Ovis aries: one gene and its partner. The protein of the gene in region 1 purifies or fractionates together with the protein of each later gene. This does not show direct contact. Links are inferred from orthologs where the notes say so. Each region holds a gene or a part of one and is shown in the gene's direction. Other genes may lie near its edges.

The links. Proteins that work in one complex are often made in the same cells at the same time.
Region 2: the proteins of AP2B1 (region 1) and BMP2K purify together in Homo sapiens (affinity purification with mass spectrometry; 3 studies listed by BioGRID and IntAct, with this or other methods). This does not show direct contact. The link is inferred for Ovis aries from reciprocal best matches to the Homo sapiens genes AP2B1 and BMP2K.

The regions. Positions count from the first base shown.
Region 1 is NC_056064.1:14,480,627-14,484,596, reverse strand, and holds the start of AP2B1 (AP-2 complex subunit beta), read left to right. Parts: upstream 1-1,170; 5' UTR 1,171-1,410; exon of another isoform or gene 1,411-2,401; intron 2,402-3,970. UniProt on the Homo sapiens protein: Component of the adaptor protein complex 2 (AP-2). Adaptor protein complexes function in protein transport via transport vesicles in different membrane traffic pathways.
Region 2 is NC_056059.1:94,247,308-94,251,478, forward strand, and holds the start of BMP2K (BMP-2-inducible protein kinase), read left to right. Parts: upstream 1-1,368; 5' UTR 1,369-1,844; coding exon 1,845-2,004; exon of another isoform or gene 2,005-2,036; intron 2,037-4,171. UniProt on the Homo sapiens protein: May be involved in osteoblast differentiation.

The DNA.
Region 1 (3,970 bases):
CATTTAGTCATTCAACAAATTTGGGGGAGGCGGGGGGTAGGCCTCAGAGATACAGTTTTGATATTCAGTTCTATACTTTCATAGAACTCTAAAAACATTCTAAATCATTATGACTGCCTTCTTTTCCTTCTACCTCTCTGACTGCTTCTCAGTCCCCTTTGCATTTTGGTTTCCCAGCTTCTGCCTTAGGCTCTTCACATTCTTCTTCTTTCTTGATTAAAGACTTTTTATTATTTTTACTTAGAGCAGTTTTATGTGGGAAGTTTTAGTTTTGAGGGGAAGATACAGAGATTTCTAGGTCTTGGTTTCTGAAAGGGACTTCTTTCGCGTAAGCAAACTCGTAGGTTTTCCTGGTGGCTCATTGGTAAAGAACTCGCCTGCCAATGCAATAGACACGGGTTCAGTCCATGGGTGGGGAAGATCCCTTGGAGAAGGAAATGACAAACCACCCCAGTATGCTTGCCTAGGAAGTCACATGGACAGAGGAGCCTGGTGGGCTACAGTCCATGAGGTCACAAGAGTCAGCTGTGACTTAACTAAAACAATTAACAAAGCATACCTATTACATGCTAGGCTTCTTACCAACCTAATCCGGTTTAAGCTTCATAAACTGGTAAGAGTTATTATCATCGTCTTTATTTCACAAGTAAGAAGACTGAAGTTGAAGAGACAAGTAACTTTCCTAGTCACATTCAGGGCAGGGATTCGGATTCAAATGGATTCACACATAGATTTGAGACCGTCTCAACCTTTTTTCCTTGCACCAGTCTCCTCCAGTTCCACTGCCCTTGTATAATCCTGGGCTGGATCACCACTGTCAGTGTATTTTAATTGCCCAAGGAATTAGCTGGGTTTTGTTGTTTTTTAAAGAAAGCAACAGGCATTTCACTGACTCTGTGTAAGTTTTTAGAGAGGTCTTGTGTGAGGAAACAAATCCAGAGAATGTCAGCTTGTTTACTAGATTCTTTCAGATGAATTTCCTCCGAAGCCTAGATCTCAGATCTCTACCACACCGCGCAAAATTTTTCCGTCTCCAAGGCGACAGAGAGTAGTCCCTCCTTTCTCGTTCTCTCGCGCGTCTGGATGACATCACACGGCGAGGCTCTCTGACGTAAGAGTTTCCTGTCCACCATCTTTGTACCGGGCAAAGTGGGTTTTGCGCAGTGGCTTAGACCTGGAGAAGGAGTCGTGACGTGCAGGAAACCATTACAACATCGCTCGGGCCGTGCTCTCTGGCCGCTGCTGCCACCCCCGCCCTTGCCTACGGTGAGTTGTAGGCGGCTACCTCTGGGGTGTGTCCCTTTTTGATGGGGATGGGGGATCCCCAGACTTGGTTGGAGACAGGCGGAGGAGAGGAAATCCGAGGACCGTGACCGTTGAAGATGGAGTGAGCCGTCGGGTGTGACCGTTGTGAGGAAGAGGGTTGGAGAAAAGGACTCCACCGCTGGGGCGGGGCGAGGGAATCCTCGGGGTGGGAATTGGGGGGTATTGGGGGAAAGATATGTTCGAAGTCGGGGGGTTAAGAGGGTCAGAGGCCAGGGGTGTGGCTGGCGGAGACCGGAGGCCAAGGAGAGAACCTTGCTTCTTCCCGGTTTGGCGTCGTTCTCTGAGAGGCTAGGTAGGACATGCTCAGCTCAGGAAAGGGAAAAGGGGTTCCCCAGAGCTTTGCTCCTAGATGGGTAAACCTCGCCGTCGCCCGTCATTTGAGGTTAAGAGACGCCTCTCTGCTTCGTAATGGAGGAACATAGCCGTAGAATTTTTACCACCTCGGGAAAGAAGAGGAATTCCTGACTCCGAAGATAGGGAAGAAAAACCCAGAGAATTGACCCGATATGAGAGAGGGGGAAGCTCTTGAGAGTAAATGTTAGCCCGGAGTTTTTTCTTCGGGGTCTTAGAAGGAACGGTCTGGTTTGAGAAAGGCTGTGGATTAGACAGAGGTAAAGAAACTGGAACTTCCTGTTAATTCCATTTTTTTTTTAATCCAAAGAGTTTATTCATGCTGTTAGTTTTTAACAGCACTCTTCTATTTGGGGGCAGACTCTTTTTTAAACTCCATTATGAAGCGGTGTGAATAAAATGTGGCTGCTTCATTAAACTTTTCACTTTTAAAGGTTTTAAAAATGCCAAAACACTGTTAACAATCCTTGTAGTTTAAAGAGAAAGTAAAAAAAAAAAACGCAGTAAGTTTAGAAAAGATAGAATGACCAAGAAAGTGGTCTCAGTGAGGAACAATTTAAATTATTAATCACCTTCCTGGTATACTTGTGTTGCTTAGCTTCAGGGTACACTTACAAAGTAATAATAGAAAGCAGCAGATGAAGGAGATGCAGCTGTGCAAGAAAACGTGTAACACTTTGCCAGTGGTGACTAAGCCTGGTGGGAACGTGAGAACTGTTTACAGGTATTTGACAGTTTAAACTCCCAAAGAAGCCGAAAGTAGAGGGTGTTCTGCAGATAGCTTCACTGAAAGCTGGATGGTAAAATTAGTATAAAGCTAACATTCTGTGAGGGCTTCCCTGGTGGCTCGCCTGCAGTAGGCGTGGGTTTGGTCCCTGGCTTGGGAAGATCCCCTGCAGAAGGCAATGGCAGGCCACCGCAGTGTCCCTTCCTGGGAAATCCTATGGACAGAGAAACCTAGCAGGCTTCAGTCCATGGAGCTGCAAAACAGTAGGATGTGACTTAACCACTAAACAACATTCTGTGACTTAAGAGACTCAAGAAAACCTGGTTCTTCCATCTTTTTTTTTCCTTCTTTAAACACACCTGTATTTTTAGTCAGTTCAGTTACTCAGTCGTGTCTGACTCTTTGCCACCCCATAGACCGCAGCACTCCAGGCCTCCCTGTCCATCACCAACTCCCGAAGTTTACTCAAACTCATGTCCGTTGAGTCAGTGATGCCATCCAGCTATCTCATCCTCTGTTGTCCCCTTCTCCTCCTGCCTTCAGTCTTTCCCAGCATCAGGGTCTTTTCCAGTGAGTCAGCTCTTTGCATCAGGTGGCCAAAGTATTGGAGTTTCAGCTTCACCATCAGTCCTTCTAGTGAATGTTCAGGACTAATCTCCTTTAGAATGGACTGGTTGGATCTCCTTGTAGTTCAAGCGACTCTCAAGAGTCTTCTCCAACACCACAATTCAAAAGCATCAATTCTTCGGTGCTCAGCTTTCTACCTGTGTTTTAAAATATTACATTTAAGGCACAGTTCTGAATCAAGCTGAACAAGTAACAAATTAGGAAGGACACATTTTCTTTTCTTCCTTCTCTCTCTCCAGGCGTTAAGTTTTCCAGAGTTTATTTCAATTAAGAATTGGATGTGAAACTTAAGACCTTTTTTCTTACTGTATGATATTAGCAGAGTACTTTGTAGTTAAATGGGAATGATAGGTATGTCTGTTGTAATGAGTTATCTGTTGTAATTTTGTATGCAATAAATGATACATGAAGATGTGTTATTGAAATGTGTAATTAGCACTTCTCATCCTTATGCTTGTAATGAAAGATTACTAAGATGACCTGTCCACTTTATAATTTGGTTTAATTCTGTTCACTTTTTCCCTACGGGCACCAGCTGTGTAAAATCCAACTTCACGTGAAGAGAGTGGATTTACTGGCCTCACCAACTCTAAATTAGCTGCTATTTCCCAGAGAGCCATTCGGAGTTAAGACCCCTATTAATTTTTTTCTGGCCTTATTCTCTTTAGGGGCACCAGAAGGAAGGAGGGATAGTTGAGAAGGGAAAACTGTCACAGCCTATATTTAGTAGAAACTAGGTTATGTTAAATCTAGATGTGTAATCCTGTACAGAGAGGCCTTTTCTGAAATGCAGTGACATCACACTCTGGGCTAGGAAAGTTAGAGAAATTGTGCATTTGACTCTGTCAGCCTCATTTATGTTTTAAAACGATGTCCTGAGGCCATACCTCAAGCCGGTAGAGCAGCCGATGGATGACTTGTCTAGTTTGACCTGGTAAA
Region 2 (4,171 bases), on another chromosome or scaffold:
AGCAGACGAGAAGAAAAAAAAAAAAAGGAAGATTTCAAGCCCCAAAACTTTTGCCTAAGTACATTTCCTAACGTTTCTGCCTGTATCTCATTAAAAAGCTGGATTAAGAAATGGGGGGCGGGGCATGGTGGGGATAGAACCACAGTATCTACTTTCACAGAAGGTGCATATTGGAGTCCTGCAGACACAATTTATTTGGCCTACATTTAAAAAACTTGGGAAATGCCCTATTAGGGGTAAAAAACAAACAAACAAAAAAAAACCCTAGATGTCTCCTTTACAAATGGAACGTTTGGCCACAGTGGGCCTGTATTCATTACAGGGTGGTGGTTCCGCGGGTGGGGATGGATGGGAAGTAGGGTGTATTTGAGAATGAACTCTGTGATTTCCCATTCCTTACCATTCTGAACGTCTTACACCAACGTTCACTTTGCCTGTCTCACGCCGCAGGCACTGAAATTCCTGCAGTTTATGAAATGGATGCAACGGGTCTTTTTTTAATGGGCAAACCTCTGTTAAGGGGCGGGGGGGGGGGGAATGACTGGTTTTGCTTGCAAACAGTCCTAAATCTGTCGTTTTTCAACGATCTGAGCCTAACCTACTTTTCCCGAATGGCCCGAAGTATGAAACTAAGTATCAAAGGATGGCCCTCGCAGTCGCAGCTGTCACAAGCCAGCCATGTGACCTTGGGCAAGGCCGTTAAACTCTCTTGCCCAAAGGTGATGAAAGGTCTTGAAACGGACTGAATACCTGTTCTGAATACTTCGCAGGGTGGTTGCAGAGCACACACGAGATTCTGAAAGTACTTGTAAGTCATTTATAAACCGCAAAACGCTCCCAGCACAAGCGGCTGTTACCGAGTGCGACACCACGGCTTTAGAAGTTAGGTTACTGAAATCCGCTCTAGTTCTGTGCTGCTCCCACCTCCCACGCTCGGGGGTGGGCGAGCGGAAGAAGGTTCTCGGGAGAATTTCTGGAAAAACGTCTTCGAAATGCAGGGAGAAAAGTCCCTTCACAGGGGTGAAGTTGTTGGCGGCATTTTTAAGCCCCCGAGTGACATACCAACCTCTCGCCGCACAGCCAGAGCCAAAACCGGTCCCCTGAACACCTCCCTGCTCGAAGCCGGGACCTCAGGAAACCGGCCTGAATCCTCCCAGCCAGGCCCCCCGACCCGGGATTCCGGACCTCGCCCTCGTCCCCAACCCCCACTATCGCCTCCCCCGTCCCCCCCTCCACGTGACAAGAGCCGGAACCGTCACTTCCGGCGGCGCAGGCAACGCGCCTGCGCGGGGCGCCTTGCCTCAGTGAGCGGTTGGCAGGGGCGCCGCGCCGCCAACGGCCGCGAGTGGCGGGCGGTGCAGGTTCGGCCGGGGCGGCGGCGGTGCGGTCCAGCGGGTGTGAGGCCTGAGTGGTCCAGCCCACTCCCCGGAGGGACCGGCCGCCCCGCCCCCTTGGCCCTCTCCCTCCCAGGCGCCCTCCTCCGGGGTTCGCGCTCCGGGCGCCTGGCGCGGCGGCGAGGGCGCCCGAGGCACTGGCGGAGGCGGCCGCGTCGCTCCCGCACTCGGGCCCGCCCCCTCGCGCCCCGCCCCGTCCCCGCCCTCCTCGCCGCCCTCTGCGGGAGCCCGGCAGCTGCAGCGGAGCCGCGGAGCGGGCGGCGGGGCCGGGGCAGTGCGCTCGGGGCGCGCGGAATGTGAGGCTCGGCGGGCCGCAGCGCGCACGGACGCTCGGACAGGCGAGGGGCGGTGACCCCTCGCGGACGCCCCGGCCGCGCACGCCGGGCCGGGCGCTCGCCCTCTCGCTCGCCCTTAGGCGCGTCCCGCGCCCTCCAGCGCGCCGGCGGGACCATGAAGAAGTTCTCTCGAATGCCCAAGTCGGAGGGCGGCGGCGGCGGCGGAGCGGCGGGTGGCGGGGCCGGCGGGGCCGGGGCCGGTAGCTCGTCCGTGGGGGTCCGGGTGTTCGCGGTCGGCCGCTACCAGGTCACCCTGGAGGAGTCGCTGGCCGAAGGTACGGGCGCCCGGGGAGGCTCGGGCAGGCAGGTGAGGGAGGGCTGGGGTGTGGCGGTAGCTTCTCCCGTTCTCTCCCGCTTCTTTCCGCGCCTTCGCGGCTCACTCTCCTGCTTTCTCGGCCAAGCCGGCGGGGGCTCGCGCCTAAGTCGGCTTTTCTCGCCGCCGGCAGCTCTGACCCGTGCACAGTTCTTTCAGCACGAGTTTGTCATTTTCACTCCCTCTTGAGGCTGGGAGATAAATAGGAAACGTCTTAGCGAGGGCTGCGGTGTCATGATTGAACCAGTGACTCATTAGAGGTTCAGATCGAGCAGGATTGGGTCTCCTGTCTCCCCGCTGTGGCTCAGTAGGCTGTCCTGCACTAGCCTCTCCACCCGCGCCGCAGGGCTCAGGACCCCGCAGCGCCGGGTGTTCCGCCTGGGTTTGCTCCTGCTCAGTCATCAGTTGAAAAACAATTTATTTCTGTCTGTGCGCGTGCTGGAGGTGATGCTTTGCCCCAGATTTCAGTCAGTGGGTTGCCATGGGGGGAGCAGGTAAACTTGAAGTCCGCTTTGTTGTTTAGAATCTTCTCTATGAGACCAGTCATATCCTTGCTGGACGTCTCTTTGATAGTACTTTAAAAGGCGGTAGGAAAGGTTAACTTTCACTTGAGAAGTTTTGTTTGGGAACTCTCATTATCTTTACCGGGTTATGTCAACAGTTGCAGGGCTGCTTACAAAAAAGTTTACTCTTTTTAAAAAAAGAAAAAAATCTTACACTTTAGTTTTGTGTATCGTGTATAATTGGCTTGTAGGAGATAACTTGTTTTGTCGCGTGTTTCACTGGCTTTTGAGTTTTTAATCGCAGAATGATATTACCAAAAAAATACTTAAATACTTATCAAGAAATAATTTGTTGGTGTGCTTAGTCCCTCACTTGTGTACGACTCTTTGTGACCCCGTGAACAGTAGCCCACCAGACTCCTCGGTCCATGGGATTCTCCAGGCAGGGATACTGGAGTGGGTTGCCATTTTCCTTCTTCAAATTTCTTGGTAAATGGCCCTTTTAAGTTCCAAGATTAAGAGAGAAGAAATCGAAGACAGTAGTTTTGGTTCTCTGAGAGCTAGTTGTTGATGTGGTTTGGAGACAGTAGACTGAGATTCCACTTGTGCTTTTTGAAATGCTGTAAACAATAGCAAATGAGTACAAGAGGAAAAATGAAAGGTTATTGTCTATAACATACTCTAAAGAGAAAGAAGATTTGAATGGTTCAGGGATGGATGCATTGTTTGGCAAGCCATTGCCCCTAGTAATGAGCCTGGCTGAATCTTAGAGAGGTGGGAGGAGGATCTTTAGCTTGTCAAATAATGAGTTGTATGGTAATGGGTGTTGACAGACAGATTTACTACGCTGTGAAAGTTCCTATCGCATTATGTTACAGGAATTTCAAATGTTTTAGTTGTAGCTCAAGCTGTAGGTTTTCAGAAGACATGGCTGTTAACTCGCATGCTGTACTTCTGTCTTTTGAACTGCAGTAACTAATTCAAGTGTGACTTGAGTAATATTACACTCACTTCATTTCACTAAACCCCAGGTGAGTCTTTTATTTAATAGAAGGAAATCATCAACATTTCATGAAAGTAGACTTTGGATTTGTAGCTTTTGCCACTGCTCCATGCATGTCCTGTGATTACTTCTGAGCAAGCTATTTTCAACAAAAAGTAATTTTGGAAAATGCAAATAAAAAATTTTCAAAAGGGGAGTGCTCAACCACACACAAAAAAATTTAAAAGAAAAATTCTTTCAGTCACTAATGTCACTGTTAATGTTCTGCTGCCTTTTGCCATAATTTGTCATTTCTTTTGGAAAAATCTGCAGTCAAGTGTTAGGAGGAAGCAAGCATTGAACCAACTCTTTTGAAAGATGGCACTCCTCCCACCCCCATCCCAACCCCGCCCCCAACACCCCCAGCTCCTGGACCTAGGCTTTTGGCCTTCTGTGGAGGGAAGGCTGAGTCCTTGGTCTTGTTCCCTTATGTATTTCTTTTTCCAGCACACACACAACTGAAATCTATATTCGGTTCACTCTTTGATTCTGACGATATATTGTCATTTCATATGCTTCATATTCTCTCTTCTTTCCAAATATGCCGCAGTGTAGATGTTTAAGTACAAATGTGGTTTACATTC